5 linked regions of the Sus scrofa genome follow. The protein of the gene in region 4 interacts with the protein of the main gene of each other region in a pairwise test. Links are inferred from orthologs where the notes say so. Each region holds a gene or a part of one and is shown on either strand. Other genes may lie near its edges.

Region 1 (5,797 bases), on a different chromosome or scaffold from region 4:
ATTTGAGTGCTTACTATGCACTAGTTGCTGGGACCATATGTAGTGTTAGTATTATAATTCCCATTTGAGGAGTTCCTGTCGTGGCGCAGCAGAAACGAGTCCAGCTAGGAACCATGAGGTTGCTGGTTCAATCCCTGGCCTCGCTCAGTGGGTTAAGGATCCGGTGTTGCCCTGAGCTGTGGTGTAGGTGGAAGACGTGGCTTGGATCCAGCACTGCTGTGGCTGTGGCGTAGGCCAGAGGCTACAACTCTGATTAGACCCCTAGCCTGGGAACCTCCATATGCCACGGGTGCAGCCCTAAAAAGGGAAAAAAAAAAAAAAAATTCCCATTTGACACATGAGGAAATTCAGGCTCTTTGAAGTTGTTCTTAAAGAACAGTTTCCAGAAGCCAACAATAACTAATTATTTTCTATCAAGAGCTACCAACGTCAGAAGGTAAGTGTTCAACATCTAGTAGTTTGCTCTTTATAGGTAAGTGTTTAGCTGCATACGCCAAATAAATTCCATTTTGTGACACTACTGCAGGAAAGAGTATATTAATTTGAATAACCCTATGACACAGTATCTTTCCTTTATCTAGTGTGTAACAGTTTTATTACGTGAAAGATTTTTACTCTTTTTTTTTTTTTTTTTTTGCTTTTCAGGGCTGCACCTGAGGCATATGGAGGTTCCCAGCCCAGGGATCTCAGAGCTACAGCTGCTGGCCTACACCACAGCCACAGCAGCATGGGACCCGAGCCAAGTCTTTGGACCTACACCAAAGCTCAGGGCAACGCTGGATACTTAACCAACTGAGCGAGGCCAGGGATCGAACCAGCAACCTCATGGTTCCTAGTCAAATCCATTTCTGCTGCTCCATGACGGGAACGCCTATTATGTGAAAGATTTTAATTTTATTTTAATTTTTAATTTTTTTTTGTCTTTTTGCCTTTTCTAGGGCTGCTTCCCGCAACACATGGAGGTTCCCAGGCTAGGGGTCTAATCAGAGCTGTAGCCACCGGCCTACGCCAGAGCCACAGCAACGCGGGATCCGAGCTGCATCCGCAACCTACACCACAGCTCAAGGCAACACCGGATCCTTAACCCACTGAGCAAGGGCAGGGATTGAATCCACAACCTCATGGTTCCTAGTTGGATTCGTTAACCACTGAGCCACAACGGGAACTCCAATGTGAAAGATTTTTAAAAGGACACTAGAATCCACATGAATTTTTTTTTTTTTTGGGTGTACCTAAGGCATGAGGAAGCTCCCAGGCCAGGGACTGAACGTGCGCCACAGCAGTGACAATACTGGCTCCTTAACCCACTGAGCCCCAGGGAACTCCTTTAGCATTTAAAAAACAAGTTATAGGAGTTCCCTGGTGGCTCAGAGGGTTAAGGATCTGGTGTTGTCACTGTTGTGGTGTGGGTTCAATCCCTGGCCTGGGAACTTCCACATGCTGTGGGCACACCAAGAAAAATCACAAAAGACCTCATTACATATTCAGACAACATTTATTAAAAAAATTTTCTAGGCATTCCCGTCGTGGTTCAGCAGTTAACAAATCTGACTGGGATACAAGGGAAAACAGGTTTGATCCCTGGCCTTGCTCAGTGGGTTAAGGATCTGGTGTTGCCGTGAGCTGTGGTGTAGGTTGCAGACGTGGCTTGGATCAGGCATTGCTGTGGCTGTGGCTGTGGCTGGCAGCTATAGCTCCGATTAGATCCCTAGTCTGAGAACCTTCATATGCCTCAGGTGCAGCCCTAAAAAGCAGAAAAAAAAAAAATTAAATGACCATGGATTCCTCTCCTGAATCCTTCAAGAGAAACAGTTTTCTTAAATTTTATAAAAAGCAAACTACCAAGTTGCTTTTATTTATTTTTTTTTTATTTTTATTTTTTTTGGTCTTTTTTTTTTTTTTTTTTGTCCTTTTGTTGTTGTTGTTGTTGCTATTTCTTGGGCCGCTCCCGCGGCATATGGAGGTTCCCAGGCTAGGGGTCGAATCGGAGCTGTAGCCACTGGCCTACGCCAGAGCCACAGCAACACAGGATCCGAACTGCATCTGCAATCTACACCACAGCTCACGGCAATGCCGGATCATTAACCCACTGAGCAAGGGCAGGGACCGAACCCGCAACCTCATGGTTCCTAGTCGGATTCGTTAACCACTGCGCCATGACGGGAACTCCTGCTTTTAGGGGCAGATGCTTCTAACTCAAAATAGTAATTCAAGTTCTCTTCTGTTGGAGAACCATGACAAAATTAAGAGGCTGGCAAAGCAAACAGCATTGGCTAATGAAACAAAACAGCTTCAGATGCCCTATACATACATCTCATAATTTATTAAAGAACAGTGCTATATACATTTGCGAAAGTTGAGAATCTCCATGGATTATGTATCAGTCCTTACAAGGATGCTATAGATTATTTGAAGTTTAGACTAACATGCCACATGTGCTACATTATTCTAAAGTGGTAAATATGTCTCTCTTTTAAAAGCATTTATTTTATCTGCCTAGTCTGACATTTCTTCTTAGATGAAGTGAATTAGATGTAAAGCTTTACTCATTACGTCAATAAATAATTCCATCTAATGGGTAGGACAACTGGTCCCAAAATCTTATTATTATTATTATTTTTGTCTTTTTAGGGCCGTACCCATGGCACATGGAGGTTCCCAGGCTAGGGGTCCAATCAGAGCTGTTGCTGTCAGCCTATGCCGCAGCCACCACAAGGCCAGATCCGAGCCACGTCTGTGACCTACACCACAGCTCACAGCAACTCCGGATCCTTAACCCACTTCGTGAAGCCAGGGATCGAACGCGAAAACTAGTTGGACTTGTTTCTGCTGCGCCATGATGGGAACTCCCCCCAAATCTCATTTGTATTGCTATGTGTGTGTTTGCGTGTCTCTGTCTCTCTCTTTTTAAAGATAAAGCCCAAACTAAAGGAGTAAAAGGTCAACTGGCTTATCCCCAAATTCCTAGCTCTAACATTTAAATTTCTGACATTTCATCATTTAGATTTGCCCATCAACTCCTCAAGCAAGAGTAATATAAAAGATAGGAAAACAAAGCAGTATCAAAGCAGAAGAAAACACAGTAAATTGGTTTTTTTAAACTTTTGTCTCTGAGATACCTCTGCTGTATTTTTCCTGTCTCACTGTTACCAACAACTATAAATCTGATAAAGGAAATTACCTTTTGATACAGTCAGAGCCGGTGACCACTGTGACCTCAGGATATCGAGACAAATACTTCCATTACTGTTTATGTTTGGATGGTAAATTTTTGTTGTGAAAGCAATCTAGGCATAAAACATAACAAAACAAAACTGTGACAACCCATGAACTATGAAACCAAACAATTAATTTGCCCCAGGGTAAAATGTCCTCAATTTTATGTGATCTTACTGGAGAAATGCATTCAACACAAACTGGATGAGCATCTACTTTATACTCGCAAAGCTTTAGCTATTGATAATGTGAAAGCAAATAATCAGTCTCCTGCTCTCCCCACCCCAAGGAATTAAGAATTATTTTGGAAAGTGTGATAAATAAGTCTACAATGGTTAGTATGACTGGTTCGGCAGCACCTGAGGTAATTAACCATCCCTCAAAGCAAGACTTTTCTTAATTTGATTAACAAAGGGACACCTGGATCTAAAAATAGGATGCTGACCCTATTCCAGAAGAAAGTTGAGGGGCCTCGGCTTATAACCTGTCCTAAGAAATTCACCAAGAATTCTAATCTTCCACAAGAGCTGTTATATCACTTCATATACAATGTTTTCTTTGGTCATGCCTACAGCACACAGAAGCTCCTGATTCACGGATCAAACCCACACTACAGTAGCAACCTGAGCTGCAGCAGCAAAAACAGGAGGTCCTCAACCTGAGGAGCCAGAGAGGAACTCCCTATTCAGGGGTTTTTAAAAATCTAAAATAATTATTTCTTGAGTGACAGAATTTGTTAATGATTTCCTCCCGCACTGATATACTCCCATCATTTGTTTCCTCTTTTGATCTAACTTTAATAAGAACGTGCTTTTAATCCCACCTACCACACTAAAGGGACTGTGTCACATTTAGTTTTTATATTCCCCAATGCAACAGAACATGGTAGGTGTTCAGCAAATGTTTACTGAGTGCTTAAAAACTGAGAAGGAAGGGCCAACCTAGGATAGATAACCCCTTGAATGGAAAGTCTAATTCTTAACCATAAAACCCCCCTGTACTACATATATCTAATGAGGAGAGAAAGACAGGTAGGGAAGCTAATTTACTGCCTAAGAGACACTGCCTCCTGTGTACAGACATAATACAATATTTGAGTAAGAAAGCATAATTTAGATTCAGTGGTTTTATAGAAAAGATTGAACATGCCAGCCTACCCATGGTCTTTTGACATCATGAAAATATTGGATAGAGTAAAACCCCTGACAGAGTTGTCACATGAACCATAAAAATAAAGATACCTTTGGTGGTTTAAAAGGATAGTCTGTCGGGAAATGTACAGTGAGAAAGAAGACTCCACCTTGATATGCGCTATCAGGCTGAAATTACAAAATAATTGCATCAGTGTTTGATTACTATATTTATTAGTAGTAACCTAAAATGATTTCCCCAAAATATATCATTAAAAAAAAAAAATGCCAGGAGTTCCCGTCATGGCGCAGTGGTTAATGAATCCGACTAGGAACCATGAGGTTGCGGGTTCAGTCCCTGCTCTTGCTCAGTGGGTCAACGATCCGGTGTTGCCCTGAGCTGTGGTGTAGGTTGCAGATGCGGCTCAGATCCCGCGTTGCTGTGGCTCTGGCATAGGCTGGCAGCTACAGCTCCAATTAGATCCTTAGCCTGGGAACCTCCATATGCTGTGGAAGCGGCCCAAAGAAATAGAGAAAAGACAAAAAAAAAAAAAAAAAAAGCCACTTTGTCATAAGTTCAAATCATTTAAACTTGAAAACAGGTTTTTCTTTGCAGGACTGAAGGAGAATTTTCCAACAATTATGCTGACGTTGTAGTTCAAAACAAAACAAAAATAGGACACATGGTGGTGTGACTTACCCAAACAAATCTGTTTATGAATATAAATTTTTAAAGATCAGTATAGACACAAGCCTGCTGTGAGAAAAGAATAATTTTTGGCAGCAGTAATCAATATAGAAAAAATGGCTGGGGCTAGTATTTAACCTCCTTAATTACAAAACTAAAGTCCTGATGGTCCTTTAAGGGGTACGAATGGAGATGAACTGAAACAACCAAATTATAAAAGAAAAGGCTAAGTGACACTGTGATATAATTTAGACCTCAAATCTTCACTTAGTTTATAAAATAACATGGAAAATGCAAATAAGCCCCAAACAAAATTAGATAAATTCAATTTCATAGAATTATAAAATTAGGAATCAGTTTTACAAAAGGAATTTAAATTTGGCCATGCCTTTATAGCAATCAGGAAATATTTGTTACAAGCAAGAAAAAAAAGTTTTTTTTAAAAAAAAAGGGAAGGAGTTCCCATTTCGGCTCAGTGGTTAACGAACCTGACTAGTATCCATGAGGATGCGGTTCAATCCTGGGCCCTGATCAGTGGGTTAAGGGTCCGGTGTTGCTGTGAGCTGTGGTGTAGGGAGCAGACGCAACTCAGATCCCACGCTGCTGTGGCTGTGGTGTAGGCCACCAGCTACATCTCTGATTTGACCCCTAGCCTGGGAACTGCCATATGCTGTGGGTGCGGCCCCTAAAAAGACAAAAAAATAAAAAAATAAAATAAATAAAAATAAAAATGAAAAAATAAAAAAAAGGGAAAAAGAGGGAA
Region 2 (6,366 bases), on a different chromosome or scaffold from region 4:
CTAGGCAACAGCATGGCAGGTACAGACTCCCGGAGGAGCTGCCCTTCAAGTTTCCACTGCAGGCCAATGAAAGTGAAGCCACTTGCAACCTGAGCCCCTTTACGATGCTGATCGGCTGTGAGATGGTCCAGGAGGCCTCCATTTCACCCAGTGGTGCCAAGCTCCTGCGTGTCCCCTGGCACCAGCATCTGGCCCCAGTAGGGCCCCGGCCCAAGGCCTGGTTATGGACATTCCCCCTTGGCCTTCTACATTTGTGGCAACTTGGTCCTCTCCCAAAGGTACCCAGGCAAGGTGAGTCAGGGGTTAAAATGAACCCTATCCCTGCTGGGGCCACCAGCACCCTTACATCAGCCACTGTCATTTCCTGTTGCTCACGTGAAGGGCTCCCTAACCTGCCCAGCCAGGAGAGGGACTTGCTCCCCAGGAATCCCAGGCACTCCTGGCCCCCAGGGTAGAGAATGGGTGATGTCCCACATCCCAGCAGCCTTCAAGGCCCCTCTCTGAGCCCCAATCCGTTCTCCTTTCTGGGGTGAAGGCAGGCCGGCTTCTGTGGCTTTGCCACTGCCTGACTAGAAAGCCCCTAGTCGGATTTCAGAGGTATGCCTCAACAGGGTCAGTCCCTTCCCTCCTGCCCAGATGTCTGGGACAGGTGAGTGGGGAATCCCAGCCAGTCCCGACAGGTGCTTGGGAACCTCCACAGGGGTGACCTCAGAGCTTCCCAAAGCCGCTTGCTAATAACATCGGAATGAGGCCCTGCTGATGGCTGACCTTGAAGGGTAAAGTGGGCTGAGAGAGGGGCCCTGTCTCCCTTCCTCGACACTTTCCAAGCCGCACACACTCCTGGCTGCTGGGACACTGCCTCGACAAGTGGCAACTCCTGGGACGAGGGCTGTCCTGGCAGAAGTGGAGGATACACGGAGTGAGGGCTGGGGTGGGCTGGGGTGGTGGATATTTTGCTCTCACCGTCCAGGAGTTCTGTTTACTCCTCAGGCCCCTAGGAGTCCCAGCCTGTCTCCTTCCCTCTGGCCTGTCACTCACAGTTCTATCTCTCAGGGGCTGGCACCCAGTGACCCACCAGTTGCAGATGCCTTGGAAGGGGGTCATCCAAGGGGATTGGGGCCCCTCTCAGTCTCTCTCAATCCCAGTAGTTGCCCAAGGGATCGGAGGGGGCAAAGAGGTTAGATAAAGAGACCAGAGATTAGAGCCAGAATCCTGCCTGGAGAAGAGCTGGGTGGGCTGAGGGTGGCGTCTCTAGAGGGCGCTTCTTGATTTGGGGTTGGGAGGGGGTGGGCATTGCTACACTTCCAAGAAAAGGCAAAGATATAGGCCCCCAGGCAATACTGGAGTCCTCAGGTCTTCTTTTCCAACCACCTCCCTCTGGGTGCCCCCACCCCACAGGAGAGCCCCAGGCTCCCTCTCTCCTCTAGGGCTTCCTCTCCTCTTCCTGGTCTCTGAGCCTTTGGTCTTGCTCATAGCACCTACCAGGCCAGGTGGGGCAGCCTCTCACATGCTCCCCCAAACAGACAGGGCTCCCCCAAACAGACAGTCCAGGGCCCTCTGGACAACAGCCCTGTGAAGTTTGGATAGCAAAGGGACAGCTACTGACCTGTGTCCAGGGACACGGGATGGGATCTGGGGGCTTCTCCTTCCCCAGCAGGGCAGGGAGTGCAGTGGCGAGCCCAGAGGCAGGAGTCTGACTTGGGGCCGGGTAATCCGGAGCTCAGGTTACTGACTCCGATATATATAGTATCTTATCTGACCTCACGGAGATGGCTAGCTCCACTCACTGGCATTCCAAGCCTGGGCAGAATTAAAGGGGCAGTGGCAGGCCCTCCCTTGAGGTGGGCCCGTGCCAGGCAAGATCCTACAAGACTGTTTGAAGGGAGGGATTTTGAAATGGGACAGAAGGGGGATTCAAGGGGAAATAGAACTGGAAAGATGGTAGAGGGATGGGGGTGGAATGGAGGCAAAAATATGGAGAAGGAGGTGCCAGTCACAAAACTGGAGGAGAGGAAGAAGCCTCAGTGCTTGTCTGCCTGCTTTACTCTTGAGATGGAAGAGCCCTAGAGGCAGACAGCAGCGTGCTCAAGGGCACACGGATACAAAGGCAGGTGAGACCTCCTCAGGTTCCCAGGCCATTCTCATTTATAATGGACTTCTAAGCCTGGGCTTGTATTCTTTCTTTCCCTTTTATTGGCTCTAAGTCGGTGGGCAAGTCCCTTAAGCCCTCTGAACCTTATTTAGTCTGTAAAATGGGAATAATAATAATAATAATGTTATACCTCACAGGTGTGAGGATTAAATAATATTTGTAAATTTCCTGGCACCTAGTAAGAGCTCAATAAATGGTAATTATTACTATATTGAATACTTCCACTTATAATTAGAGGTAGTTTTTGTAGTAGCACCCTCGGGGGAACCTGGCTAGGGAGAAAAGGGCCTCCAGGCTACCCCGCGGGAGTGCTGTTCTAATGCCATGGTTTTCTGAGCAGGTCTGTGTCCCATAAGTGGCAAGGCAAACGAGGCTTGCCCCATTCCCAGATGTCCAGTCCACCCACCGGCAAAAGGCCGGGCCCTCTTGGGCTCCTTCCTCCTTTGCCTAGAAAAATACAGCAAGTGCAGCTTCCCCGGGGCTCCCGGGAGCAAGCCCAGCTGCTCTGGGGCAGTTCCACTCTACCTGTAGGAGTGCTCAGGATCCCGGAGCCCAAGGAGTGGGGCTGGCTGGGCAGGGTCACAGGAGGAAGGAGCAGGATTCTTAACCTCTCGGCTCTTGGTGCTCTGGTCTGCTCCCAGTCTGTCTGGCCTGTTTCTCGATGGCTCTCCCTGAGGACTGGGAGTACCCAAGATGGGGCCTCCACCCTGTCTCAGCAGAGGCTACTGACTCAGCTCCGGTCCTGATGATGCACTTCAGAGGACGCCCTTGTCCCCGGCCCTCATTCCAGTCCTCATTCCGACCCCGGCTTGACATTATCTACAGCATCAGAGAAGGGGTGGCTGATCCAACCCCAGCTCAACCAGCTCTCCTTTTCCTTGGGTTCTCATTGGGGGACCTTCTCATGCCTGTGCCTGGGGAGGCGAGCAGCAGCAGGATCTCCAACTCGGCCCCATTCGAAGAGCAGCCAGGTCAGGAGGTAGATGCTCACTCCTTAGAGGACAACTAGAATGGATTGGCCAGGGCTCCCTTTGGCTGTTAAATATAAGTTACTAGCCTTAGAGCACCGCGTGCCTGCTTCTGGTTTGGGATTGGTGAAGATTTCAAAGATGCCTCTTTCTGGTTTGGGATTGGTGGAAAATCTCCCCTTCCACTTAAATGCTACCCTCCCCCCACCCCACCCCCTTTGGCAAACCGACCAGAGACAGCCCCCAGGAGCTTTGACAGAGGGAGTAAATGAGCTGCTCGCACACGTGGGGAAAGGATTGTCAGTGTCCAGGCGTCACTCTCAGCCACATCCCACCCAGGGCTCAGAGACCTGGACCTGCCCAAGCAGCGTTTCCGTAGAACACACTGATTAGCGCACAGATGGCTCTTCCTGGCACCCTGGGCTGTCAGCTGGTGCCCCCCCTCCCCCCTACAACTGGTACCCACAGCTGGAGATCTTCAGCGCAGCTGGAACTCGCCCTACATTTCTAGTGCCCATTCTGCCCAGCCTGTCGTTGGCACCTCACTTTCTGAGCCTCAAACAACACTGCCCTCCGCATCACCCCTCCCCAGTATCCGACAGGTGGCAGGTACCTGCCTCTTCTCCGAGGATGGACGAGTCGAGCCGGGCACAAGCATGGAGCTGCGGGTGAGTCCTGACTGGTACTGGAGCGGCGCAGTGAGCAGCAGCTGACGCAGAGGGCTCCCTGGTCTCCGCTCCAGCCCGCCTCTCCCCCACCTCCGCCGGGGGCCCAGAGAGGACCTCCCCGGGAAATCGGCGCCACCCAGCGGGCAGCTGCCTCATTGCGCCGGGGCCGTCAAAGTCACACCCCGCGTTTCGCGTCACTGAGACGCATCACGGCTATTGGCTTTTTGCTATTGTGGCGTCATTAGACTCCGCCCGGCCAGGGTCTCCCAGGCGACCGATATATACAGAGAGCCACGTGAAGGAAAGGTGAGTTTGGAGGCGGGGTGGAGCACAACGAGAAGGGTCCCAATGCGGCAAGAATGTGGCACGACGGGAGAGGTGTAAGGTACTGGGAAAGAGGAAGCGTCTTGGGGGGAAGGGTCAGAAGTTGAGTCCCAGGGCATATATAGCAGCTTTTAGTATTTAGGGAAGGCTAAATGTTCCTCTCCTTCCCACCCGACCAGGAGCGGACCTGTTTTTTTGCCTCTTCTCTTTTTTCTCTACTCTTTAAGACTCTCCACTCAGTAACAGGAGACCAGTGATTAGTGATGACCCCTTGACTGGGTGAACGGAGGCACTGAGTCAATGGAAGGATTCTCTTTTGTCTTTTCAGAAAAAGCCGAAAGGAAATTTGAATTTTTGCCGCTCCTTTTCTTTGTGTATAACCTTTCTCTACTTACACTGCGGTGGTGAAGAAAACCGCATAGCCATGTAGATTGGTGCCGGGGCAAGTCCAGGTTTTCAATTTCACCTGGACCATCAATCCTTTCGTGCCCTTAGCTGCTTCTCTTGTTCTTATGCAAGGCTGGTATTTCTGCCCATCATCACTCTGAAGTCCCTTCTTGTCTTCTCTTTCCCAGAGAAACTAGAAGCAATCAGGAGGAAAACACTTAAAGTTCTTCCTACAAATATATCCAAATCCAGTGTTCCCTCTGCTCCAAGAGCAGTGAAAGAAGTGTCCCGCTTCTTGTCCAGGACAAATCCCTTCTGGATTTCAACTCTTTAATTGTTCCTTAGTGTTACCTGAAAACTGGGTTCACCTCTTGGTGGGCTTCAAGCCAAAAGACACAACCAAGCCAAAGATTGGAAGAAGGTAAAATTTATTACTTGTAGCAAGTAAGAAGAACACCGGGGCAGGGTGTGTGTGTGTGTGTGTGTGTGTGCGCGCGCGCGCGTGTGCACGGCGGTGTCTTTCCCCAAGCAGTGTATCCTGGAACAGCAAAATTGGGGAAGTTTAAAGCTAAGGGTGCATGCATATTCATGAAGGGCCTTGAGCCAAAGAGAATTCACAATAGAATTGAGGCAAAGGTTGCCAGAATCCAAGCTTTAGTTGACTGAAGTCAATGAGGGTCAGCAAAGGTCAACATCATTCCTTAGTTTCAGACCAGGGTCTCAGCTGGTAGTTACATAGTTACCATCCTCCATGGGGGGGGGGCTTAGTTCTAGCAGAACTTAAAAAGATTTACATCAGATTGTTATGTATATCCCTTGAGGAGGAGCTAAGACTTCTATTGAACTGAAGTGTCTACAAAGACAAAAAAAGAAAAAAAAACAAAACAAAAATCTTACCTTTTCTACCAACTTTCCCTTTGATGTATAAGTCTCCCAGTTCTTCCCTTTAAACAAATGAAAATCTTGAACTTAGGTTTTTGCTTTCTCCTCTTGATAGTTTTCTTGGAGGAGTTGTACGTCCTGTGTCTCCCCACCTCCCTGTGGGAAGTCTCCTACCCCCCAGACATCAGGAAACCTCCCTCACCCAGTCAGCACCATCTGCCGTCTGTTCAGTCCAATGGGCCTTTCTAGTCCTAGTCAATTACTTGACCTCTTACAAACTCCATACCTGCACCCATTTCCTCCTTGCAGTCCTCTCCTCCTTCAGATTTTGTGGTAATGCTTTTCTTCCCCCCACCCTCCATCTCCTTTTCCTCTGGTGCTTTTGTGTAGCTTAAAGCACAGTGGTTGTTATACGTGCAGATTGTAGAGTTCCTGGGATAACTTCTGATTTCTCTGATTACCAACTGTGAGGCCTGAAACTTTTTTTTTTTGTCTTTTTAGGGCCGCACCCTCGTCATATGGAGGTTCCCAGGCTAGGGGTTGAATTGGAGCTGTAGCTGCCAGCCTACACCACAGCCACAGCAATGTGGGATTTGAGCTGCTGCATCTGCGACCTACACCACAGCTCACAGCAACACCGGATCCTTAACCCACTGGATGCTAGTCAGAGCCGCTTTGGTTCTCTTTCTTTTATTCCCCTCAGGGTCCCTTCTCTCTGTCGCCATTGCTTCTGTCTTAGTTCAGAGTGTCATTCTTATACTTCTTATTGTTTGGCAATTTTCCTCCCAACCCTGAGGATCAAGTTGCTGGAAAAGTAGGAGGTTTTACGGTTGAAGACCTTTGATAAAAAATAAGATTAGGAAGACTGAGTGACCTGTTAAATGCCTGATCAATATTTTATCTTCACTAAAATCAACACGAACATTTAGCATGTGCAGTAAAGAAAATATCAATAACATCTTACAGATCTGAAGTTAGCAGGAGT
Region 3 (4,726 bases), on a different chromosome or scaffold from region 4:
AGGGATCGAACCCGCAACCTCATGGATCCTAGTCGAGTTCTTTAACCACTGAGCCATGAAGGGAGCTCCCATAGCAGCACTTTTTACAATAGGTAAGATGTGGAAGCAACCTAAATGTCCATCGACAGATCAAAGGATAAAGATGTGGTGTGTGTATACACACATACATACACACAACAGAATATTACTCAGCCGTAAAAAAGAACAAAATAATGTCATTTGCAGCAAAATGGCTGGACCTAGAGATGGTCATACTAAGTGAGTTAAGTCAGACAAAGACAAATATGATATCCCTTGTATGTGGAATCTAAAATATGATACAAATGAACTTGTTCACAAAACAGAAACAGATTCACGGACATAGAAAACAAACTTGTGGTTACTAAAGGGGAAAGGGGAAGAGAGGGATAAATCAGGAGATGGGATTAGCAGATACAAACTACTATAAAACTAACACACCACTGTAAATACATTATATTTCAATCTTTAAAAAAGTGAATTTTTTTTTGGCCATGCCCCAGGTACGGGGAAGTTCCTAGGCCCGGGACTGAACCTGCCCCACAGCAGCAACCGGAGCCACAGCAGTGACAATGCCAGATCCTTAACCCACGGAGCCACCAGTGAACGCCACTGAAAGTGAATTTTTAAAAAATGACATTTGTGGGGTTCTCTTCTGGTTCAGTAGGTTAAGAATCTGGTGTTTTCACTGCAGCAGTTTTGGCTGCTGCCGTGGCTCGGGTTTAGTCCTTGGCCTAGGAACTTCCATATGCTGCAAATGCAGCAAAAAAAAAAAAAAAAAAAAAAGCATGCAAAGCTCTCAGCACAGTGCCAAAAATGTTTAATTAAGTCATGTGTATTAGCATTATTAGGCCAATCCCCTCAGCTGTCATGTAGGGCACTGAACCCTGGAAATAACAGAGACTACACCAAGGTCCCTGGGTGGCCTTACTTATCCCAAGCCCTACCTGCTACAGCCCAGCTCCTTCCCTCAGCAACACTGCTCTGCGCACCTGCCCAGGTATGAGAACAGAGTCAGGAGCAGGTCAGCCAGCTCAGGATCTCAGAATGCATCCCTGCTTTCTGACAACAGGCTCAGCTGAGATGCACAAATTTTTTTTTTTTTTTTTTGTCTTTTTACAGCCGTGCCTACAACATATAGAGGTTCCCAGGCTAGGGATCTGATCAGAGCTACAGCTGCCAGTCTACGCCACAGCCACAGCCACACCGGATCCTTAACCCACTGAGCAAGGCCAGAGATCAAACCTGAGTCCTCCTGGATACTAGTTGGGTTCGTTAACCACTGAGCCACGATGGGAACGCCTAGACTCACAATTTTTATCTCCTCCCTTCTGGGCTATTCTAACTCAAAAGCGGTCCTCTGACCCCATCCAGCATGGGTCCCTTCCTCTGGCAGGGCCCAGCCCACCTTGGCAGGTCTTGGTGCAGGGCTTCCAGTTCTCGTTGCTGATGATGGGCAGACACACCTGGCCTTCGCTGTCCACGTTGGGGTGGTAGATCCTAGTTGTAAACGTCACCGTCGGGGGCTTGAATGGGTACTCCTCCGGGAAGCTGATGCGAAGGTTGAAGGCCCTGAGGTTGTAGGGCGGTTTCTCCTGGGCAAGAGAAGGGCCACTCTGAAAAGCTCATTTTCCTCCTAGGCCCTTGGTCTGGGTTCCCCCTCTCCCTGCCCCCCACCCTAGGGTCCCAGGCATCCTCTGCTCCACTCCGAGGAAGACCCATAAACAGGGACACCCATGGCACCTGTATTCACCTGGCAACTGAGCTGTGGATTCATGAAAGAGTGGAGTCCCAAAAGGACACGGGGCCTGGCAGTCCCAAGAGCTAGACCCAGGCTTTTGCGGTGCAACCAACAACCAGCTGCCTCTCATCAGTCCTCTGATAGGTCCCGTCCAGTTTTTCCGATCTTTTGTTGGCATGGTTAACGATCTGCGTGCCGTGCTATGGTAGTTCAGACGCGGTCGATCCGCGTTGCTGTGTCTGCGTAGCGTTACAGCTCGATTGACCTACTGAACTCATATGAGCAAAAAAACAACAACAAAAAAAAAAAAAAAAAAAAAAAAAAAAAAAAAAAAAAAAATAGTCAAGTTTGGTTAGATGAGCCCTAAAGACCATCTCAGCTTCTTTTTATTATATTGATAATTATACTAATTTTTATTATATATCATTTATATATATATCACTTATAAATTTATATCTACACTTTTCCAGATTTATTGAAATATAACTGCCATATATCACTAAGTTTAAGTTCCCGTTGTGGCTCAGTGGAAATGAAGCTGACTGGTATCCACGAGGATGCAGGTTTGATCCAGTGGTTAAAGGATCCAACATTGCTGTGAGCTGTGGTGTAGGTCTCAGACTCGGCACAGATCCTGTGTTGCTGTGGCTGTGTTGTAAGTTGGCAGCAGTAGCTCCAATTCGACCCCTAGCCTGGGAACTTCCATATGCCTCAGGTGTGGCCCTAAAAAGCCAAAATAACAATAATAATAAGGTGTACAGCATGATGGTTTGATTTAAATACATTGTGCTTCTTAGGGCCACACTCACAGCATATGGAGGTTCCCAGGCTAGGGGCTGAATTGGAGCTACAGCTGCTGGCCTATGCCACAGCCACAGAAATGCAAGATCCAGGCTGCGTCTGCAACCTACAACACAGCTCATGGCAACACCGGATCCCAGACTCACTGAGCAAGGCCAGGGATCGAACCTGCATCCTCATGGATACTAGTCAGATTTGTTTCCGCTGCACCACAATGAGAACTAAATATACTGTGAAATGACGACCACAGTAGGTTCAGCTGACATCCTCCTTCTCATATAGATAATAATAAAAAAAAAAAGAAAAAGAAAAAAGAAAAAATTTTTTCTCCTTGTGATGAGAGCACTTAGGATTTATTCTCAACAATTTTCCTGCCTATCACACTGTGGTGTTAGCTGTAGTCATGTTATACAATACATCCCAAGTCATTATCTACAACTGCAAGTTTGTACCTTTTGTCTGCCTTCATCCAATTTTCCCTTCCCCCACCCTCCACCTCTGGCAACCACAGGTCTGATCTCTTTTCCTATGAGTTTTGTTTTTAGGTTTCTCATATAAGTAAGATCACACAATATTTATCTTTCTCTGTCTGACTTATTTCACTTAGCATAATGCCTTTAAGTCCATTCATGTTGCTGCAAACAGTCAACTCAGCTTTAACATCTGAGAATTATGGAAGAGAAGGATGGACATTTTTCCTTTTTTTAATGCCTGCACCCGTGGCATATGGAAGTTCCTGGGCCAGGGGTCCAATCAGAGCTGCAGCTGCTGGCCTGCACCACAGCCAGAGCAATGCCAGATCCAAGCCCTATGTGCAGCTCGTGGCAAACCTGGATACTTAACCCACTGAGGGAGGCCAGGGATCGAACCTGCGTCCCCAAGGGTACTAGTCAAGCTCTTAACCCACTGAGCTACAATGGGAACACGGATAGACACTTTCTCTTAGGGAGCTCTTAGCAAGTACAGGAGAATGTCATTGCTGGGTGCTTGGAAAAGGAGAAAATAAGGAAATCAAAAGAAGTCAGGGGCTTAGGAAAGAAATTCTGCAGCCACTGTGGAAAACGATATGGCGGTTCCTCAAAAAATTAAACAGAATTACCATATGATCAAGCACTTCTACTTCGTAGTATCTATTCAGAAAAACTCAAAGCAGAGACTCGAACGGGTATTTGTACACCCAGGTTCATAGCTGGGTGGGTCACAGCAGCATAAGACTGAAACAACCCAAACATCCATCAACAGATGAATATATTAATCGCATGTGGCATATCCATGCAATGGAGTATTACTCCACCTTAAAAAGGTAGGACAGGAGTTCCCGTCGTGGCGCAGTGGTTAACAAATCCAACTAGGAACCATGAGGTTGCGGGTTCGATCCCTGACCTTGCCCAGTGGGTTAAGGATCCAGCATTGCCATGAGCTGGTGTGTAAGTCACAGACGCAGCTTGGATCTGGCATTGCTGTGGAGTAGGCTGGCACCTATAGCTCCAATTCAGCCCCTTGCCTGGGAATCTCCATATGCCATGGGTGCAACCCTTAAAAAAAAAAAAAAAAAAAAAAAAAAAAGCAAGGACATTCTGATAAATGCTGCAGCACAAATAAATTCTGAAGACCTTATGCTACGTGAAGAAAGCTAGACAAAAAAAAAAAAAAAAGAACAGGAGTTCATGTCATGGCTCAGTAGTTAACAAATCTGATTAGTAACCGTGAGGTTGCAGGTTTGATCCCTGGCCTTACTCAGTGGGTTAAGGATCCGGCATTGCCGTGAACTGTGGTGTAGGCCGCAGACACGGCTAGGATCCCGCGTTGCTGTGGCTCTGGTGTAGGCCGGCAGCTACAGCTCCGATTAGACCCCTAGCCTGGGAACCTCCATATGCCGCACCAGTGCGGCCCTAGAAAAGACAGAAAAACAAACAAACAAAAAAAAAAACAAAAACCCAAATATTGTATGATTCCATTTATTTAAGGTACCTAGAATAGTCAAATTCATTGACATAAAACAGAAAATTAGTTACCTAGTGCTGGAGGGAGGGAGGAATGGAGAGTTAGTGTTTAATGGACACAGGGTTCTGGTTCTGGAGATGGATGGTGCTGATGGTTGCACAACAATGTGCATGTACTTAGTGTCACTGAACCAAAAACATAAAAATAGTTTAGGTGGTAATA
Region 4 (6,468 bases):
GTGCCTGTCTGCACCTGAGCCACCATCTCCACAGGCTATACCTCTGCCGACAACTGCCAACGTCCAAGTTCATCAAGGACACAGAATTTGATTCCTTTCTCTCATACCTGACTTTCACAGGTGCCTTGGGGTCATGGGGATGGAAAAAGCTAGGCCTCAAGGGGGCACCTCCAGCTCTGGAAACTGAGTGGGCAGGCACAGTGGGAGAGAGCCAGACTGTATCACATCTAACAAACACAGTCACCCTTATCTAGTTTTCCTCAGGAAGAAAACAAGCGTGGGGGAAAACCAAAGGGCAAGGGCAGGCCACAGTCTTCTTACCCCCTGGACACCGGGCGGGAAGACGTACTGGATGACGATGGTGCCGTACTTCTCATAGCTGGGTAGCAGGAGTGTGGCGTCCTTAGAGACCAGCATCCGCCCATTCTGGGGCTGGTTGCCCACCAGCTGCCCATAGAAGCGGCCACACATGGGGCAGGCCTTTTTCACCTGCAGGGCCCGGGTGATGCAGCCCTCGCAGAATGAGTGCCGGCACTTCTCCAATGTCTTGGCATTCTGGATCTCCCCCAAACAGATGGGGCAGGTGCTCTCCTGCTCTTCCGGCTCCTCCCGAAGGCGAGGAGGAAGAGGAGGGGGCAGGGGAGGAGGAGGCGGGGGGAGCCCCCGGGCCCCCGGGGGCAGGAGTGGGGCTGCCCGGAGAGGGGGTGGGCCTGGGCGGTGCAGCTCAGGGTGCTCCCCTCCACCCCCCAAAGCCAGGCAGCCCATAAGCTCCCCCTGCCTCTGAGCTTTCTTCAGCTCTTTCTCTGCCTCCTTCAGCAGCCCCTTGAGAGCCTTGCGGGCCAGGTAGAGCCCATTGGGAGGGGCTGGGGGAGGGCCCTGAGGGGAAAGCTGGAGCACATAGATGTCAGAGGTCTCGCCGTCTATGAGAATGGACACACGGTGCTCCTCCCGAAGCCGGGCCAGCCGGGCTGGGGTCTCCTTGCTCAGGAAGTCCCACACAGGCTTGGAGACAGTCACTTTGTTCTTGCAGGTGCCTCCACAGGCTGCCATTCTGGACAGGACGAACGACACTGCCCCCAGGGTGAAAGGGACTCAGGGTGGGGGGTTCCCATTTGATAAATATCGGGGCCTATTTCCTACTCCTACTTCACGTTCCTTTCCACCCCTCCGCTGTCTCAGAGTCCAACTCCCCTCCTCCCCCAAGTTCATTTTCTGTTTCCTCTTATCTTTTAAACTCCAGCACCCACTGAAGAGCAAGAAAGCATCTATAATTTTACTATTACCATCTATGCCAAGCATCAGTCTTGGTTCTCCTCCCCTCCTCCCCAGATCTCAGAAACAACCCGCCCCTCCCGCCTCCAGGTGAAAACTGGGTTCCGTAAAAGGAAGGGAGACTTTTTGACCCTCCTTTTTGCTCACTTTGATCCTGAAGAGCTTAGAATTGGCATGCAGGCTCGCTCGCTCTCTGTCCCTGCTCCCTACTTGTAGGTTGTGTGACCTGGTAGGTGGAAAGGGAAAGGAGGGAAAGTGAGACACCCCTGCCTCCATTCCCACGTGCCCCAACCCAGCAGCCCACGTAACAGAGACAGGACCTAGGTGTACGTTACTGGGAACAGGATTTCTTGGAACACGGCATGGAGGAAACCAATTTAAAGCTGAAAGCTGAGGTTCTCATGGAAGTCAGATACCTGGAAAGCCCATGGACGATGATAGCAGCAGAAATCCGTTTCCACAGTCAGCTGATCGGGACTGGGAGGGGGTGGGGTGAGGTAAAGGGTTAGGATGACAAATGTTAGCTTTTCCCCAGTCTGCCCAGAAACAAAACCAAAACTCTTCTTTCATTTCCTCTCCTCTGCCCCTGCAGAATTCTATCCCCAGCCTCTCCCCAAGTCGCTAAAGAAGGAACTTCCACGTGCTAACTTTCCTCTTTTCTTCCCCAGCTGTGGGTCTCTTAAGAAAGCCTAGGGGCACAGATAAGAGAAGTCAGGAAGGGAAAAGTCCACACACAGGCCTTTTTTTGCCATCTCCCTCAGACCCCATTTACAAGGGTATTTCCTTTTCTCCCCAGCTCCACACCCTGCTCCACATGCCCAAATAATTCAGTCCCTATTGCCAGGGAGCCTTCCTTGAGAGCCTACCCCATCCCTTCTGCTGAAGTCTGTTTGGAATTTGAACACAGTGGCAGCAGGCCCTGCAATTACAAAGTTCTCACTGTCGCCGTTTAAACCCAGCACCCGAAGTCCAAACCTGCGGCAACCTAGGCTGCATTCAGGAAGGGGTGGGGCTCATGCAGGGCACGGGCTGGAGGAGCCTGATGTTTCCCCTGAGTCTGGCCGCGTTCAGCTACAGAGCTGTCCCTACAACACCTCCAGATGCAGCCCAAGTAGAAAGAAGAGCTGTTAGTGTGACCTCAATTCTCTGACTGATCCAAAGGGGAGCAGCTCTCTGTTTGTGCCTTTATCATAGTCCCCTGAAGGCCAGATGCACCTCAAGATTCAGAAAGTGCAACTGGAACCCCAGAGCCTCGGTTCATACTGTCTCTCCAGGTGGAACACCCCCTCCCCATCAGAGGGAAGCCGGGACCTAGGTGTCCTTTGCTAGGAGTCCTGCTGGCACAGAAAAGGGAGGCGGGGCCTCAGTTTAGGCTGGGTCTCTGATTCCTCTGGGGCAACCCAGGCCGGACACGGGGCCAGTCCCTCCCCTGAGACAGAGAGCAGCGACAGGGGCAGCCAGGAAGGGCCAGGGTCCCTTGGGGGCATCAACTGAGGCATCTCCACCCCTCCCCCCACAACCTCTGCAAGACCCAACCCGGAACCAGCTCCCCCAATCCCCCTCTCTTAAGAGCCCCCGAAGCCCCACCACTGGGGGTGGGTGCATGTCTGCCCGACCGTGGGCCCCTGAACCCCCAAATGGAGGCCAAGGCTGGAGGATGACAGAAAGAAGATCGGCCGGGCCTAGAGGGAGGGGGCCCCCCGGCGCCGCGCGCGGGGGAAGGAGGCGGAGGAGGGGGCGCAGGGGGATCGGGAGGGCGCGCGGGGGGTGCGAGTAGGGTCCGGGGGGCGCGCGGTGGGTGTGGGGGCCGCCGGGCTCACCTACCTCTCGTCAGCGCCGCCATTGCCGGTCACATGACTGAGGCTGTTGCTGGGATGACGGTCTGGGCCTTAGCAACAAGGGGGGGGAGACCCTGAGAAGGTGGGGGGGGGAGTTTGCAGGGGTGCAGACTGAGGAAAGGGAAGGAGAGAGGATGGCACCCCCTTCCCCTTCACAGGTGACAATCACGTTTCCTTTGACCCCATCTATCCACAAGCCGCTGCCCTTCCGCGCCAAAACAAAAATGGAGGCTCCGTACAAGTCTTTGGAGGGAGAGGGTGGTGTCGCGGAACCGAGGGTAGGAGGTTAAATCCCTTAGAGACGCCACCCTTCTCGCTCCCCGCTCCCGGGAGGGGCCCCCTCCCTATTCTTTCCCAGCCAGCTGCGTGGCAGCTCCTGGGAGCTGGTGGGGGGTGGGTGGTTGAGGAGCGTCTCTTTAGGTAGATGGGGAAGGGGAGCAATTTTTCTGTGATCTTTTCTTCTAGGGGGCCTTTGAGGAATATGGAAGAGAGGAGTCATAATAAAAAGCACTGGTTCTAAAAAATAAACCCGTGACTAAATCGTTTCAATCCCCTCCCTCATCTCTCACCTTTTTCTAGATTGTTACCTTCTGTGACTCCGCAAAACTTGCCCCCAGGTGGGTATCTGTGAGTGCCCCTGATTTTTCTCTTTCCGCTATCACGCGTACTGAAACCCGTGCAGAATGAGAAGCGAATGTTTTTTACAGAATACCTTAGAGTGATGGTGGTGTCAAGTCTACGGGTGAAATAGAGTTAAAAGCTCTCAAGGAAAAAAAAAACCTCCTCTCTTCTGCTTCCCACATCAGAGCAATCTCCGCCCCCAGTCCAACGCAATTCCCTGGGGCCACATCAAGCCAGGTTTTTCCACCAGCCAAAGACCTCCTGGGCCAAGCAGTACTGGATGGATCTCCCAGACTGTCAATGACCTCTTCATCCACTCTCTTTTCTTTACTCCCCGTCCAGGCTGGAAGGTTGGTCGCTTTCTTCTTTACTTTCCCAGGACCCTACTGTACTCTTCCTGCCCTCCAGATGGAGAACATCTTTCCCAGGAAGCCTGAGGGAACACCAAATTCCTTCTCTTTTAGCTCATGTGTGTGTCAGTGGTGCTGATAGGCTCACTCACCTTTAGAGAGATGGGAGTGTGATCTCACCCTGGGGAGGGAGGGTCACATCATCTCAGCTGTCCTGGGCACACCTATAGCTAAACTCCTACAAAACTGGGGAATGTTTTCCAGTCCCACGCACATCCCCTTCCACCTTTCAAGTTCACAGCACCTATCTTGAAACCTACATTCTTAGGGGCCCAATGCCTTGGAGACCAGTATTCTTCATCTGGTCCCTGCACCCTAAGTACAGGCTTCCAAAAAAGGGAAAGGGTGGGGGGGAAGAGACATTTCTGTGAAGGAATTTGGATTCAATAATTTATTTTCTATATAGTGACAGCAATGGGAGTAAATACATAAGATCTTTTTTTTATTAATTAATAAAACAAAAAGAGATGAAAAACAGAAGCAACAAATGAAAAAGACCATAATGCTTATGACACATCAGCCACATGGTCAGGAAACCCATTTCTAAAGAACAACAGTTGCTGGTGTCATGGAGTTTTATTGCATTCAACAGGGGAAGGGTAGATGGTTGAAATGAAAAAGATCCATCAGGCTCCTGACAGGAAGATATTATAGGGGCTCCAATCCTTAACTGGGGACTCCTCTTGTACTTCCTTTGGAGAGGATGGAGGGGCAGGAGAAATTCTCCTTTATGACCTCATGACTTCTTGTGAGACAGATCAGTCCAGCCAGATAGAACAAAGAGTCTTTGCATCCCCAAGGCCACTTGCTGGTGCCCATCTTTATGTCTCAGAGAAATGCAGACGCCTCAGGGCGAATGCAGGATGCAAAAAGAATGGCCGCCTTAGCCCCAAAGGAACTGGGGGGAAGGGAGGACAATCTCTCAACTCATCAGGGTCTGCTACATTCTGAGAATATCACACATCAACTCAGCTATCTTTGGAGGGGGCTGGGTGATTGAGTTATGGGTCTGACTCCTCTCTGGGGGTGGAGTGAAGATGACAAAGAAGGCCATCTGTCCCCTGGGAGACACAGTAGCAGTATAAGACAGGACAGGAAAAAACAGAATAACAAATCCAACTGGGAAAAGGACTTGAGAAAGGGTGGGGGAAGTATCCTAGGGGCACACTTCCAGGGAATAGAGGAGGTTTCCACACATGAGACATCCATTCTCTTGAAATGACCAGGGTTGACCCAGGTAAAGATACTCCCTTCTGCTGGGACTAAAACCTCAGGAATTGGCTAGGCATGAAAAAAGGAAATTTAGCAATGGGTCACCCCTGGCCCATCCTCCCAGCCTCTAGAATTGGCCATACCCTCAATGAAGGGTTCCAGCCCCAGGAGGGGTGTGAGGTCCTGAAGAACAGCAACAGTTAAACACTTTTACCCAGGATTCAACACTGTGGCCATCTTTGGGGGGGGCGGGTGAGGTGAGGGAAGAGACTGGAGAGCAGTCAACCCTTGACAGAGTCCTTCTCCAACTCCCTGCATAATCACAAGAGTCCTCATCGGTCCCACCTCCATGAGGTACCAGCCTGCTGACCATTTTCCACCCCACCTGTGTAAGACTGGCCATATCCCATCACATGTGTGCATGCCTGCACCCATATCTGTAGTATCTTGAGATGCTTCCATCCCAGGGTCTACCAGGGAGCAAACATGCTACAATGAGTTCTATAAAGTTATCAGCAAAATTCAGACACTCTGCGTTCATCCCACAGAGCAAAGTGCATCCAGAGGAGTCGCTTGAGCCAGATCCATCTGTCCAGTCGGGTCCTGAAGATGGCAAACAACCCCCTTCCCCCAGCTCCTCCTATGTTGTGGAAACAACAGGACATTTTACAAAGATCAAGGCACTTGGGAGAGAGTCGACAGTAACATGCTAATGAAGCAAGCAGGCGTGTTGGAGGGAGAGGGAGAGGGAAAGAAGGAGAGAGAGGACAATGTAACTCTGAGGGCCAGGAAGAGCCTACTCAACAAGATGGAATTATTTGGGTGGAAGGAGCCTGTAGCCTGAAGTTAGCCAAGGAGGAAGAGAAGAAGTGGGGGCCAGAGTATGCACAATTGCCCCAAGCCTCTCAGAACCCCACCACCTGGAACACACAGCAGCAGTCACCATGGAGTCTGGCAGTCTCTTAGGCAAAGATGTTGGTAATAAAATCCAGGAATCGCTTAGCATACTGCTCAGGATGGACAGTAGAGATCTCTGCCCCTGCCTGTGAGAGGAGGTAGGGAATGTGGTCTCAGCGCCCCCTTCCCCATTCCCCGCCCTCCACACCACTCCAGAC
Region 5 (6,480 bases), on a different chromosome or scaffold from region 4:
TAACATTGGGGACTGAATGAAGGTGATAAGCATAAGGTATTCAAAAATTTTTCACACTTCAAAATAATTATTTTTAATGTGCCGGCATAAATACACATAGCATTGCACGATTTATGCATTCATTATACCAGTAATTCATTGTGCCACGACCCACATGTATAGTTGGTTCCTCTTAGAACCACTAGGGGGCTCTGCTGGAAGGGTTTTACAGCTTATGTTAGTCCCTTCAGGGAAATTTTCCCAGATGTTTTAGAATAATGAACTCTTAAAACTTGAGAGAGATCATCTTATCCAGCTTCCTTATTCTGCAAAATAGGAAACCAAGGTTGGCCAAGAGAGCTGAAATGGAGGAGAGCTGGAATTAAAAATCCCTTCTTGGTTCCCGTGGCAGTAGTTCAATAAGTTCATTTTTGCCAAGTGCCTCCGTGAGTGGTTCACTCCAAGTGCTTACTTTCTTTTTCAGTGCCACAATTTCAGTAATTTTTGCTGAGACGGTGATTTCGTGATATTCTTCTAATAGGATACTTTACTGATTGGTTAAAGTATCCTATTAGAAACATAGTGAAAGAAGTGACTTTAATATAACTTCTAAATAAACATAATTACTTATTACAAAATGTTTTCTATTCAAAGCACCTCTCAGCATCAAAACCATATTACCTAGGAGTTCCTTTGTGCTGCAGTGGGTTAAGGGTCTGGCCTTGTCACTGCAGCGGCTTGGGTCACAGTTATGTCGAGGGTTCGATCTCTGGTCCAGGAACTTACAAATGCCGCAGGCTCGGCCAAAAGAAAAAAACACTCAAAACCCCCCCAAATCCACAACCATATTACTTATTGGAAACTTTAGCAACCGCTTTCAAATTTACTTTCCATTTAAAACATTTTAGTCTTATCGTTACTCATTTATTCATTCAATATTTATTAAGGGCCTTAATAGGCACCAGGCACAGTTGTAGATCCTAGGTTTAAGTAAGTAAAGCTGCCCTTCTCGCCCAAGAAACATCTACTACTCCATTTTTCACTTTAATATATAAACTATTTTCACATGTTCAGTGGTTCCCACTGTGTGGCTCCAGAAGCAGCGGCAGGAGCAGCTGCATCTGGGAACTTGTTACAAATGCAAATTATTAGGCCCACCCTATACTCTAGGAATGGGGCCCAGCAATCCGTTTTCTTTTTATTTTTTAACAAGTTATTCAGGGATCCTAATGTACATTCGAGTTCCAAAACTATGGTTTTAGTTCCAGGGCTTGGTATTAATTACCTAAGCAGGTCAAAGATCAACACCTGGCTTCTAAATTCCATGGAGTACTGGTCTCAAATAAAATTGATGAGACCCATACTTAACTTTATAATTTGTTGTACCTGTTAAGATCCTGGAATGATCGTAGTAATAGCAGCACCGTAAGAGCTTCATAACAAAAATGAACCTCAGTGCATTTGCCGGGCCTACACCAAGAAAAAATAGGCCAGACTGAATTCCAGGACAGTGTTTTCAGACACTAAACACAGGCAGGCACACTAAGCCTGTGGGTTCTGGGTCTGGCTGAGTCAGGGCGGCGCTCCAAACCGAGTGGAGCCGCGTGAACCCGTCAGGCTGGACTCGAACCTTCGGTTACAGGCCACGGTCTGGAAGCCTGGACCATACACCTGGTTCGAAGAGGGGCAGAGACGCCTGAGAGGACCGAGGAGGCCGGGGCAGCGCTGACCAGCGCGGAAGCCGCACCCTCCAGGCCTCAGACGCCGGCAGGGCGGAGCCACGCGGCCGCAGCTCGGGCAGAGACGCGCGGCGCGGGGCGGCGCGGCGCGGGTTCGCAGCTGAGGCGTATGGGGCTACAACGGGAGCGGCTGCGCCGCCCGGTCAGGTCAGCGTCGTGCGCAGGCGCGGACCTGGCGCCATTTTGGTGGCCGGGCGCGGAGGTGATTCCACACTGAGGAGAGCGCGGCGGCCGGAGTGGCAGTGGCAGCGTTCGTGTGCTCTGGTGTGAATCGCCGAGGGAGGAGGCGGTGGAGGAAGAGGTGGCGGCGGTGGCGGTGGTCGTAGCGGTGGCGGAGGAGGCGGGTACGAATCAGCTGCGGGCGGAGACATGGCCAACATCGCGGTGCAGCGAATCAAGCGGGAGTTCAAGGAGGTGCTGAAGAGCGAGGAGGTCAGAAATGAACTCCCGAACGTCCCCCACCTCAGCCCATGGCGGGAGGGTCCTTCCACTGGCGTCCCCAATATCCCTAGTAACGCCCGAGTGGCCCTCTTTGCGGCCGCCCTTCTGCCTGTGGGGAAGCAGCAGTCTCCCCCTCCTTCCGCCGCCTTCCCCTCCCCTTCCAGGGCCCTGGGATGGACGGTCTCGCGGGCGGGTGATCTGGAGAGGAATCAGATTGGGGGGGGCAGATGGAGAAGGGGGCGCTTAGACGCGGGGTGTGAGCTCTTGAAAGAGCCCCTAGATAGTGGCAACAGCTGGAAGTGTGGTTGTAGGGTGGGGAGTGAGCAGGCCGAGCCTGAGAAAACCCGGGAAGTAGGTTGGGGGAAGGGGAAAGGTGGTAACTGGATCCCGAGAGCTGCGCTGCTCAAAGGCCCTCACTTTTAAGGGTATTCTGGGTTGTAGCCGATCTGGCCGCCGCTGTCCTTTCCTTAGGGAAGGAGCGATGAGAGTTCCTAGGTATTGATGAAAGAAGGCCGTTCAGAGTTACTCCCTTTTAGTTGGGTGTTGGAAGAGAGAGCAAGACATAATGGGGTACTGTCTATATTGTTTAAGTGGGGGATAAGGGCATTGCCACTTGAGATAGGAAATTAATTCCATGTTAGAGAATTATCTCATTTCCACTTACCCCCAAATCCTAGGCCTCTTTTTTGTAGGCACCTAAAGCTTTTTGACTAGGTAAAGGCAGGTTGTTTGGTGTGTTAAAGACATTTAAATATTTATAGCTGGGATTAGGACATATAATGGAGTGTATGAGTAGCTTATTTTAAAATGTTTACAAGTTACAGATCAGAGTCTGTTTTAAGACATTGCCTCTGTGACACTGCTGTGTTGTGCCATGAAACTTCATTATGATGTCCCTCATAGTTAACTTGATTCTTACTATTGAAAAACAGTGCTATTAAAAAAAACATGAGGTTTCAGCAGATTAATACATTGTTATATCTCCTTATTAAACATGACATTTCAGCAGATTAATAAATACATTGTTATATCTCCTTATCCCAACATCTATCTGAAAGGATTAAAAAGTTTTTTTGTCTCAAGCTCCTCTTGAGTCCTGTAGAACACTCTAGTGTTGGCCACATTTATTAATATGTTTTAAATGTTTTAGTAATTTAGTAATTTGACTCAATTATGAATCAGTGTAATTTTTCATACCCAAATCAACGAGAATGCTAGGTTGTTTTTCCTTGTTGGATTCAACAAAGAAAGATTGAGCATATTGAATGGTTATTTTCAAAATATCACACACCATTATTGAAAGTATCATTACTATATGTGTTTTTCTCTTATATCAATACTTTGACGAGCTCAGTGATTTGTGAAATTTAGCATTCTAAGTATGTGATGAATTCTGGATATAAGTCTGATAGCACTTGAACTATATTTGTGCCACCGAGTCTTTCCAATTAGACTTGCAGAAAATTCTTTAAAATTACTAAAAAATGCCAAACACCAGCAGATTTATTGAATGTAATAGTTATGTGAGTAATAATTGGTTTTACCGAGCATGTGTATGAACTCTGACCTCTGTATTTGTTCAGGTGCCAAAACTCTGAATGGAAGGATGACTTTGTATTTTTGTGGTACATTGTAGAAATAGAGTCATAAATGCTTGTACTGACAATACAATGAAACAATGATTCTAAATTCTTGTTTAATAAGAAAATATATTCCAGGATAGTTGACATATATATTCCTAATAGAAGATTGCGGGTAATATTGCTAGTAGCCTAAAACATTTCTCTAATATGGTTGTACAAGCCTGAAATATAAGATTTTAACGCTTTATTTTCTGTTACTTAAAAGTGGTAAGTACTGTTCTCGTAATTCATATGATCTGATTGCATATTGTGAGGTGACTTTTCACAATATTCTTAGTACTTAAATTGAAGCTTAAAAGAAATCTTGTATTGCTTTAGTAATGCATATTGTTAAAATTACATGTAAGGGATGATGAAATCTTGCTGTCAAGTAAGTGTTTCAGAGGAAGAAAGTAGAAAATACAAACATTTTATTTTTTTAACAAGAGTGCCTTTATAAATCTGAAAGGAAACATCTTCCAGAAAGTAAGTTGCAAAGAACATTTAGAAAAGGGTCAGGTAATTTAATTTTGGAATATAACCAATAAATAGTTTTATTTTCACCAATATTTTATTTCATTGATATTTTAATAAGCCCAGTTCTATAATTGGATTATATTATTTTCAACTCATTGAAGAACTTATAATACAGTCCATGTATTTCTTTTTTAATGTATGTAAAGGCAATATTTGAATGGCTTGTCAGATAGTCAAGTATTTCCTCATGTCACCTATGTAAATCTTCATTTTACTAAAGTTTATTTCATATGGTTGTGCTTACTAGGAATGGTTTAAGGACTCCTCTCCAACCCCGCGCCTTTTTAAGTGCCTTTGTGAAAAGATAACTGACATTTGCTGAATTCTGGCTCTAAGAAGTTGTAAGTGGCCATTCTTGGAGTGTGTTGTTAAAATATAGCCTCCCAGATCAGTGTGAAAAGCACAGTGCAGAATAGTGGGAGGAGGCCACCATTTCTGGGGAGATACGTGTATTTGTTTGTATAGGTGAAAGGATTAATGAGAAATTGGTAGTGTTGATTGCTTCTGGGTGGGGGACTTGGGTGTCCCGGGCAACTGGCATCAGAAGATCCCTCTTAGGAGTTCCTCTGTGGCTCAGCAGGTTAAGGATCCAGCATTGTCACTGCAGTGGCTGGATTGCTGCTGTGGCATGGGTTCAGTCCCTGGCCCAGGAACTTCTGCATGCCACAGGTGTGGCCAAAAAAAAAAAAAAAAAAGATCCTGGAGTTCCTTTTGTGGCTCATCAGAACCGAATCTGACGAGCATCCCTGAAGATGCAGGTTCGATCCTTGGCCTCGCTCAGTGGGTTAAGGATCTGGCATTGCCATCAGCTGTGGTGTAGGATCCCAGGCTCTGATCTGGTGTTGCTGTGGCTGTGATGTAGGCCGGTAACTGTAGCTCTCATTTGACCCCTAGCCTGGGAACTTCCATATGCTTCAGGTATGGGACTAAAACGACCGAAAAAACTGGAGCCTGATTTGTATTACTGATTAAAGGATTTAAACACAACCTAACTTGTTAGTTTAAGCATTAAAATAAATGTTACGTGTAATTAAAATTTTGCTTGCATTTCAATATGCAAAATACTTTTAAGAGTTCCTGTTGTGGCACAGTGGGTTAAAGGATCTAGCATTGCTGCAGCTGTGGCATAGGTTGCAGTTGCAGCTCCAATTCAGTTCCTGGCTTGGGAACTTCCTATGCCACGGGTGCGGCCATTAAAACAAACCCCCAAATATTTTTAAATTCAAAGCTCAGTGAAATAGGCGTTCCCTTCGTGGCTCAGCGGAAGCGAATCTGACTGACTAGTATCCGTAAGGATACATCTTCAGTCCCTGGCTTCTCTCAGTGGGTTAAGGATCCAGCATTGCTGTGAGCTCTGGTATAGGTCACAGACATGGCTCAGATCTTGTGTTGCCATGGCCGTGACATAGGCCAGTGACTACAGTTCCAATTCCAGTTCGACCCCTAGCCTGGGAACCTCCATATGCCGTGGGTGCAGCTCTAAAAAGACCAAAAAAAAAAAAAGGCTCAGTGAAGTAAAACACCCTTAAATCAGTGTACATACTTTTTTGCTTGTTCTTGTGTATGGTACCTGCAGGTTTTTTTCATATTGTAGCTTCGCTTTGCTACATTTCTAGGATCCTCAAGGAGTATTTAAATCAACGGCATTAACAAATTGATTTTTTGAAAACTACTATTGTATAAGTTTTTCTTAAGCATTTTAATGGATTTTTGTATTGTTATTTTACGTTTTATATATTTGATCTAGATTATTCTGTATAGAACTAGTTGCAGATCTTCAGAAGAAAGTCTCTTGGTTTCTGTAGACCATGGTTTTTCCAACCTTGGCACTATTGACATTTGGGGCATATAATGAATTCTTTGTTGTGGGTGGTTCTCCTGTGCATTGTAGGATGTTTAGCAGTATCTCTGACTAATAGCATTAGATGCCAGTAGCACAGCCAGTCTTTCCCCCACCTCCTTACTCTCTTCCTGTCAATTGTATTGACTAAAAATGTCTCCAGACTTTGCCAAATGTTGAGAACCACTGCTATAGACAGAACTCTTTAGAAGAACATTTAGGACTGTTAACTATGTAAGATATGTAGTATAAATTATCTAAAATATGAATGGACAGTAAGGATACAGAAAATTATATAGCGTGGTTACTGCTAGCTTTGAAC

What was found.
Region 1: the proteins of DTX3 (region 4) and UBE2D1 interact in binary tests that used the Homo sapiens proteins (3 or more experiments, as listed by UniProt). The link is inferred for Sus scrofa from reciprocal best matches to the Homo sapiens genes DTX3 and UBE2D1.
Region 2: the proteins of DTX3 (region 4) and USP2 interact in binary tests that used the Homo sapiens proteins (3 or more experiments, as listed by UniProt). The link is inferred for Sus scrofa from reciprocal best matches to the Homo sapiens genes DTX3 and USP2.
Region 3: the proteins of DTX3 (region 4) and UBE2L6 interact in binary tests that used the Homo sapiens proteins (3 or more experiments, as listed by UniProt). The link is inferred for Sus scrofa from reciprocal best matches to the Homo sapiens genes DTX3 and UBE2L6.
Region 5: the proteins of DTX3 (region 4) and UBE2K interact in binary tests that used the Homo sapiens proteins (3 or more experiments, as listed by UniProt). The link is inferred for Sus scrofa from reciprocal best matches to the Homo sapiens genes DTX3 and UBE2K.

Annotation. Positions count from the first base shown.
Region 1 is NC_010456.5:92,301,583-92,307,379, forward strand, and holds part of UBE2D1 (UB2D1), read right to left. Parts: intron 4,536-5,797; coding exon 4,458-4,535; intron 3,288-4,457; coding exon 3,182-3,287; intron 1-3,181.
Region 2 is NC_010451.4:46,586,488-46,592,853, forward strand, and holds the start of USP2 (ubiquitin carboxyl-terminal hydrolase 2), read right to left. Parts: upstream 3,868-6,366; 5' UTR 3,738-3,867; exon of another isoform or gene 3,734-3,737; intron 1,727-3,733; exon of another isoform or gene 1,607-1,726; intron 1-1,606. UniProt on the Homo sapiens protein: Hydrolase that deubiquitinates polyubiquitinated target proteins such as MDM2, MDM4 and CCND1. Isoform 1 and isoform 4 possess both ubiquitin-specific peptidase and isopeptidase activities.
Region 3 is NC_010444.4:13,363,029-13,367,754, reverse strand, and holds part of UBE2L6 (ubiquitin/ISG15-conjugating enzyme E2 L6), read right to left. Parts: intron 1,614-4,726; coding exon 1,427-1,613; intron 1-1,426. UniProt on the Homo sapiens protein: Catalyzes the covalent attachment of ubiquitin or ISG15 to other proteins. Functions in the E6/E6-AP-induced ubiquitination of p53/TP53. Promotes ubiquitination and subsequent proteasomal degradation of FLT3.
Region 4 is NC_010447.5:22,865,082-22,871,549, reverse strand, and holds the start of DTX3 (probable E3 ubiquitin-protein ligase DTX3), read right to left. Parts: upstream 3,860-6,468; 5' UTR 3,680-3,859; intron 3,246-3,679; exon of another isoform or gene 3,185-3,245; 5' UTR 1,593-3,184; intron 1,499-1,592; 5' UTR 1,449-1,498; coding exon 1,420-1,448; intron 1,071-1,419; coding exon of another isoform or gene 1,052-1,070; coding exon 322-1,051; intron 1-321. Other genes in the region: PIP4K2C (phosphatidylinositol 5-phosphate 4-kinase type-2 gamma), read right to left, coding at 6,316-6,396. UniProt on the Homo sapiens protein: Regulator of Notch signaling, a signaling pathway involved in cell-cell communications that regulates a broad spectrum of cell-fate determinations.
Region 5 is NC_010450.4:30,885,907-30,892,386, forward strand, and holds the start of UBE2K (ubiquitin-conjugating enzyme E2 K), read left to right. Parts: upstream 1-2,087; coding exon 2,088-2,150; intron 2,151-6,480. UniProt on the Homo sapiens protein: Accepts ubiquitin from the E1 complex and catalyzes its covalent attachment to other proteins. In vitro, in the presence or in the absence of BRCA1-BARD1 E3 ubiquitin-protein ligase complex, catalyzes the synthesis of 'Lys-48'-linked polyubiquitin chains.